Drosophila melanogaster: one gene and its partner. The protein of the gene in region 2 interacts with the protein of the main gene of each other region in a pairwise test. Each region holds a gene or a part of one and is shown on either strand. Other genes may lie near its edges.

What was found.
Region 1: the proteins of Ubc4 (region 2) and CG32847 interact in a two-hybrid assay, tested with the Drosophila melanogaster proteins (one large-scale study listed by BioGRID).

Annotation. Positions count from the first base shown.
Region 1 is NT_037436.4:15,119,464-15,122,837, forward strand, and holds CG32847 (uncharacterized protein), read left to right. Parts: upstream 1-2,108; 5' UTR 2,109-2,158; coding exon 2,159-2,653; 3' UTR 2,654-2,838; downstream 2,839-3,374. Other genes in the region: Cep135 (centrosomal protein 135kDa), read left to right, coding at 1-122, 185-300; CG16959 (uncharacterized protein), read right to left, coding at 750-1,486, 1,601-1,944, 3,161-3,374.
Region 2 is NT_037436.4:9,696,342-9,701,059, reverse strand, and holds Ubc4 (ubiquitin conjugating enzyme 4), read right to left. Parts: upstream 2,725-4,718; 5' UTR 2,368-2,724; coding exon 2,305-2,367; intron 2,095-2,304; coding exon 1,942-2,094; intron 1,715-1,941; coding exon 1,331-1,714; 3' UTR 579-1,330; downstream 1-578. Other genes in the region: CG6761 (uncharacterized protein), read left to right, coding at 8-359. UniProt on the Drosophila melanogaster protein: Catalyzes the covalent attachment of ubiquitin to other proteins.

The DNA of each region.
Region 1 (3,374 bases), 5.4 Mb from region 2:
GGGCCAGCACCTTGGACTCCAGTCGGGAATCCAATCGCAGCGAGGTTACCCAACTCCGCATGGACTTAGGAGCTCTGCGGCAGACCTATATATCGTTAGAACACGAGAAGGATACGCTTCTGGTAACTTCATTTAATAATATATTTTCTAGAGATATTAACAATATTGTTATTTGCTTCACTAGCATCAATTGGATACCAAAACTGAGCGGGTATACAAACTGGAGTATGAGCTAAAGGATTGCAAAGAAAAACGGAATGCCCTAGAGCAGAATGTGAAGGACCTGGAGGATCAATTGCGGTAAGTGTGAGAATTGTTTAGTTTGTGCTTCAGAACCCGATACCAAAGAGTTTCAGAATAATTGACCTATTTACAACTCAATTTTTCTGCTAAAATGAAAAATATGTTATATTTCATTTCTAGACTCTATATTGTTAGTCTTTCAAATTCTTTTATTTCCCTTATCGTGATTTTCCTTAAATACAACTCGTACATTAGTCGATGTAATACATTAATGGCACTGTCTCATCCTATCGAACACGTTAACCGAATATTTCTAAAAACCACCTAAAAGAGAACAAAATGGTTAATTGAATAACAAATGATCGCATCGATCAATAAACACTGAGCATGCAAACACAAAAACAAAGGGTAATGGAGGTAATATAGGGTAAATTAGGTGGGCATGCGGTGAAAGAAGAATAAAAGTCATCACAACCGGACAGAAAATAGCTTGAAGATTGGGGATTTTAGGTGGTCCCACCAAGGTGCAGATCATTGAGAAACTTCGAGTTGAGTCGCTCGTTGGTTAAATACCTCGCCAGGCTGACACTTGGAGCGCTGCAGTTGCTCATGCCGCGTTGATCCGACTCCGAGGGCGTATAACCCGGTCGGCAGACGCACTTGGCCCGACTGGCGTGGACCAAAATTGAGGTGCCATTCGTGGTTTGCGATTTCAGTGGCTCTAGCCACTGACCCGCGCCGCAGGGTCCTCGGCTATACAGCTTGTGGCACTGCCCATTGATCTCCACCATTCCGGGCGTGGACTCGCATATATTCTGTTCCTTATCCGCTCCATCTCCCGTGCACTGCTGATCCAGATTGGTGAGGACACCGGAACAACCGCACATTCCATTGTAGGAGATGCCATCGATGGATGGCCTGGCGGTGAAGTCGAAGATCACCACCTGATGTAGGGCACACGGGCCTTGAGATCCAATCCTGTAGCAAGAATCTTCCGCTGGGAAGTACAGGCGATTCTTGCCACAGAAGTTGCGCACACAGCTGGTTCCGTTGACCAGGAACTCATTGGGTCCACAGGGACCCCTTGTGTACAGGCGATAGCAGATGCCATCGCTCCAGGGCACATAGCCCTCCTTGCACTGGCACTGGGCACGAGGCAAAAGCTGCAGGGTGCTGCCCGTTGTCTCCTGGACCTCGTCGGGTATGCGAAAGATGTGACCAGGTGGACAGGGGCCAGGAGTGTCTGAAAAATAGGAGAACATTAAATACGATATAGGAGAAAATTATGTTGAGATAGAATTTCAACATTTCCAAGGCGGTAATTGCAAATTAACGGGCTATGTAATCCCAATCCTACCCAGCTCATAGCACATTTGATGCGGAGCATGATAGTGCGGCAAGTGCCGCTGGCAGTCGCATCGACCGCCGGGCAAGAAGATGTGACCCGGCGTCGAGCAGGGTCCTTTGGTGTAGTGCTCATAGCAAGACTCCTCTGCCGGATAGTAGAACGAGGCCAAGTCGCCCACATCCTCGCAACGGCACTCGGCCAGTCCCTCCTCGTTGCGAACGAGGAGTTTACCCCGGCTGCATGGACCCTTTGCATGCCTCGCATAGCACTTGTTGTCCCTCGGCCAGAAGAGCATGTCCTCCGGGCAATGCAGCGGTCGCTTGCACGTACCCCAACGGTTGCCGGTTGCGGTTCTGGAAAGGATTTGCCTATAGTTTAGTTAACTTTTAAACATTTAATTGATATATACGGCACACATCATCCTATATCAATGATCGCCTTGAAGTGAGAAAGTCTGATAGATAATTGTTGATATCACATGAACTGTTAAGATTACTTCATTTTATTTTGAGAAGACATTAGACTTAAACAAAATTACCTGCGCTAGAAACACACACATCGGAAACAATGTCGGCTGATACTTTCGTAATGGACACCAAGGATGAATCGTTCTACGAGTGTAACATATGTCTAGACACCGCCCAGAATGCCGTGGTCAGCATGTGTGGCCATTTGTTTTGCTGGCCATGTCTGTACCAATGGATATTGACGAAACCCGATCACACAGTGTGTCCCGTTTGCAAGTCGGGCGTGGATAGGAGCAAAGTAATACCGGTGTACGCACGAAATGATAAAAGGCAGGAGGATCCGCGGGATAAAACACCGCCGCGTCCAACTGGAATTTGGTCGGATTACGCAAATGATCTCGAGTTGGGACTATTTTCGTACTTGCTTTTTGGTTTATTCTTTCCATATGGTGCCCTATCATCTTATCTGGATATGGACGAGCCACTCAATCCTGCTGCTGATCACGGCATAAGGGATGGGCAGAACGAAACACTCCTTTCTAAGTTCTTTCTCTACGTGGCCATTATGCTCATTATTTATATGATTGTAATTTAGCAAGAATAGGAATAAGATCAAAATAAACCATGATGGTGCAAATGAATCAGTATAACCGGGAAGATGTCGTCCTTTACAAATTATGTTCAGTGAAGTTTTCGGATAATTAGTCATTAATCTTTTTAGTATTGTGTAGCATTATGTAAAACAAATGTAATGAAAAGTAAATATTCAAATGCACTAGGAAACAAAACTGCATTTCATGTTTTAAACACGACAGGTTGTGTCGTAAAAGTAAAAACTGTATGTGAATGTACATACATAGGTTCTTGATGAACTTTCGTTATGCATAAAAACGAGATATCAAAGTAGAATGCTTCCGTTATTGCTTAAGTGCACCAGAACTTTCTCTTAACTCTTGATTAATGTTGAAACCCGAGTTTCGCAATCGAAATCAAAAGTTTCATACGACTAGAGAACAACCTGTAAACCTTCAGTGAAGTGAAAATGCGAACATGGCAGTTGCTTAATTCAAATAGTTTGAGCTAAGAACCGAACTCAACTCACCTCTTGACCTGATCCGGCACGGGTTGGAAGTACTCCTCGGGTTGGCAGGGTCCCCGTTCGTATAGCTTGTAGCACACATTATCGTGAAGCGGACTGAGTGCAGTTCCCGGAGGGCAGCGGCACTCGGCTGCAGGTGCATCCTTACGCTTGGCACTCACTGCGGTGGGACTGAGCTCCATGGTGGCCGGACATGGATAGCCGAGGGTGAAGATCT
Region 2 (4,718 bases):
TGGCCAGTCCCACCGATGTGTCGGGTCGTTTTTGGTCCGGCGAGTTGTCAGCGCGCAGCAACCAGGATCATCAGCGCGACTTCGAGGAGAAGATCATGAAACAGGTCGCCAATTATGTGACCAAAAAGACCGGAACGGATCAGTGTCTGGTGCAGAATGCCCAACCGCTTGGTGGCTCCTACGTGCGACTCGAGTCCGAATGGAAGGAGATGCTCAAGCAACGTCACAGCCATCACACGATCCAGGGAACCAATGCCACTGGCACATCCGTGGCTCAAAGCAACAGCAGCTGCCTGGGATCCGCACTTGCAACTGGTGGCTCCTCCGTGTCCGTCATGTCCAAGCAAAAGCACAAGTAGAAATTCGTATTATATGTGTGAAGTCATTAACTTATTGGATTCGCCAGCAAGCATCGTAGACCAAATATTTAGTGACAGATTATTAGTCAAATATTTAGTGCAAACCATAAATATTCACATTGAAATGTAGAAAAATTAAATGAATATGTAGAAGAATATATATATAAATGATTATATCTGGATGATATCGATGGGTTCTATTTTACTTTCACGTTTTGTGCAATTATTTGGTTTGTAAATCACCAAGAATTTGGATTTTATTTCAATTTTGGCATTAGACAGAGCCTTAAAAAATGGATTAAACAAGAATTATAGTAATATACATTACATATCTCAATCAATCTAGGGTAAATTACATTTTCCATTCTTCAGTCTAGGCATGATTTACAAAAATCTATTTTAAGTTTGCAGCCTCTTCTTCACAAACCGAAATCATAACTTCTCATTAGACATTTATTAATATTTTTATTTATTTATTTATTAACTTAACGCAATTTACAAAGACTTCGATTTGTTATACACTCCTCGCCTTCACATTTATTTTGTTTTGTAAATCATTTTTGTTTGTGTTTTAGTTTAAGCTTGAAATGGAAAACAACAGTACTGTTTAAGAAAGAGCCTGCAAGTAAATGCGACTGCACGTAAATTAATGAAACAGAACCTGGGTTCAATTACATAACACCACATGCTCAATGGGGCGCGGGCATGGCCTTTGGCTCAACCTTCTGGTGACCCACCCAGCGGCAAAGATGTGCACATTAATCATAATAAAATTATAGAACAGATCAGAGAATTATTATAACTACAGGGCAATGTAATTTCGTGGATAAGATTTACGAAAATATATTGGTGCGTGAGTGTACAAGAATTTAGCGTGATTGCCGTTCTGAAGGATTGATGCTGAAGTTGGCCGGTGTTCTTGGTGCTGCCACCGCCGCGAATGGTACTGATGCTAGTGCGGCTGGGACAAGCTAACTGAACAGGCCCTCGGTGGCCTTCTCCAAATTCCAATTCTCCTTGGAGAGCACGGCGCGCGCCTCATGCTCGTCGATGCCCATGTCCCTGAGACGTTGGATCTTTGAATCACAATCGGGAAAGGTGTGCGGTCCGCCCGCATACGCGTTGGTCCAGTGCTTGGCCGTAAGCAGGAACAGATCGTACTTGTCCTTAAACTGATAGGCCACCACTGCGTCCTGTGGATCGTCCGGCTCTGCGGCGGCCAGGAGCGCCTGCAGCGACAGCAGTACGGTGCGCAGTGTCATCGCTGCAGCCCAGTTGTCCTTTAAGATGTCCAAGCAAATCGCACCCGTAACCGACGATATATTCGGATGCCAGATGCGCGTTATGAAGCGTACCTGCGAAGAAGTTTGCAATTTATTTAGGTTTCAATTACAAGTTACAGGTTCTTATTGCGCCTTTCAGAATTCAAGTTAACATTGTGGATTCATAGAAGTGTCACTTTCTACGAAGTGAAGTCATAAGATACGATTTTTGAAAGATGAGGTGTACTCATGTAAGAGTTGTTTATTTCTAAGCTAGCATATTGTATAGGTGCACAAAGTCTGACATGGCTATTACGTACCTTTGGTGGATTGAAGGGATATGTCTCGGGCACCTTGATCTCCAGGACGAACTTGCCGCCCTCGTAGGGCGTGTCAGGCGGACCGGCGATCTCGCCGCGCAGCTCCGTCCAACTGTCATTGACCAGTTCGATTTTGATGGAACACTGGACGATCTGTTCAGGGATTACAAGCCAAATTAACAAATCAGTGGGGCCAATGTTTACATTTCACAAAGAAAACGGAGCCCATAAGCGCGCCAAAAACGCCACCAACGTTCGCGGACACCCTCCCCCGCCCCCTGCACCACGACCAGGGGCGGTGGTGCAGCTGGCATTGCCGAGGTGCCGTTTGAGTGTCCTTCGGCCTTGGAGCTCGGGACTCACCTCCTCGCTGCGCATCACCTCCTTGAACTCCCGCTTGATCCGCGACACTGCCATGTTCGCCATGATGTTTCCTCCGTTTCTCGGACTCTCCTTTCTGCTCTCTCCCTGTTCCCTGTTCACCGTTCTCCTTTCTCCGCCGCTCCTCTTCACCACGCTCTTCTTGCTGTGTTCTGTTCTGCCTCTGTTTTTATTGTTGCCCCCCCGTGCAATTTTGGATTTTGTGAGTGTTGTGCGTTGCGTAAATTACGCCTGGCTGTTGGCCTACAAGGTTGCTCCTTTCGATCGCTTTTCGAATTGTCGAAGCAACGAGCTCGACCAGCGCACGGAAAATAAAAAACTTATTATTCCAATTTCAACACGAATCTGACTTTTTACAGCGCTCAGCACGTCTATTTTGCCAGCGCTATTTCTTTTTTGTTTTTCCGTAGTGTGACCGCCGCGGTGCATTCGGATAATTCTGAAAGCTCGCCTATCGATTGACGTATCGATAGGGCTTCGGGGAAAGAGCGCGAAAATTGCTAACGAAGTTCGAATGTTCAAATGTTTAGCATATGAATAAATAACTATTACATAGGGACGTAATGAATTGGTGCTACTTGCTGCGAGCCATATATTGCCTAGATACGCCCTTAATACTACCCAGGTACACCCACTTCACTCAACTCATAACTATTTAATCATATTAAAACCTATTAAACATTTTAAGGAGGAGTCTTCTTCTTAACATTGGTCCTCCAATTATGTCCACTGGATGACATGATGACTTTGTTTCCCTGAAGGCGACATATCAGAATCTGGGAATCTTAACCGACACATTTTCCTAACTCGTTTCGATAATACAAATGAAAAGAAACAAAAGCAAAATCTACATAAAAATAACCATATTTACAAACTACTTTCCTAATAAATTCAGCTAAGCCCCATACACGAAGTACTCATTCTTACCTCTTTGTTGATAAAATCTATTTACGTTACAATGATTGGCTGAATCAATTCCAAAGTTGGTTTTTGTACCATTGGATAAAAAAGCCGCAGCTTTTCCTTGGCACACGTCAAAGGTTATTTTCCATTGCGTCTCTGATCTTGAATACTGAATACATGGCCTTATTATATAATCGAAGTTCTTTTGACCTCAGTAATATGGTTCCATTACGCTCGCCCGCCTTGTCTGCGGTCGGAAATTTGAAACTTGTTTTGCGCCCCATAAACAAAAACAAGAAGTTTAATCTTCTAAGGCGTAGGTCTCTCTTGGCAACAGTCCAAAAATAATAGACAGCCATTAATTATGCGCCATACGATCCTGTGTTTATAATGGTTATACTTGGAAAAGGGGTACACGAAGTGTTACTTTATTCACATTGCAATTTTAAATCAATATGAGAGAACTTTACCTAAAAAATTTTTAAGTGATAAACAATTAAGTGGATTACATTTTCAGCAAACTCTTATTAATAAGTTGAATGTTAACAAAATAAAAATATGATCAAAAAAATTAGAGGGCATATTTCATACCTGAAAAATCATTAAAGTCGACATTCTCTTTTACTGCTCAAATTCACGTTTCGCACAGCTCAATGGCGATCGAGAAAAAAACGTGTCAGCAAAAGCGTGTGGGGAAGTTTTGAGAGCCAACGCAACAACAGTTTTCGGATAAGAAATATACCCAATAGACATTCGGAGACTAATTAAAACGGAAGAGCTTCTTGCTTCTCCAACTCTTTGGACACACGTGTTTGTGCTCCCCTTTTGTGGCGCTCTTTCGCCACAAAACAAAACGAGTGACCGACACAAACAAATATGCCGGTTCTCTTTTACTCTCCCCGATATTCCCTTTCGAAGCATATGTATTATGACTGTGTGAAGAGGGATGCGTTTCCTACCCCATAAAATAACCAGATAACCAAAAGATACATTTATTGTCTTGTAACGTAAGGGTATCCATGCTTCAGCTTGATTAAATCAACTCTCCTCTGCGTTATCTCTTGCTCTCTCGCACCAAACAACTCCATAAACAGAAACTCAACTTCCCTCGCTTAAATTCAATTCAAAAGCGTTCTGATTCATTCAGCTTTTGCATTTTCTGAGCAGCGGCTGCATCCAAGTGAAATCACAAAGTACAAGTTTTTTTCGACCAACTTGTACAAACCGCATCGTTCAGTGATTAATAGTTTGTAGTTTAAAAGTAATTGCGACACTTTGCTACCTCACATGTTTCAAGTAAGTCCAGTATGGTGTACTACTCGATTTTGAAGTGTGCGTGCCTTTGTTTTCGCCTCGACTCAAAACATGCGTCGCATTCGGCACGTGGTTTTTGCCCCACCAACCCGCTATCCACGGCTCCATTATTCCTGTACTTGCAATGCCATTTGCGTCAGTTTTTAGGGATAAAACACGGAGAAGAGTACGTCAGCATT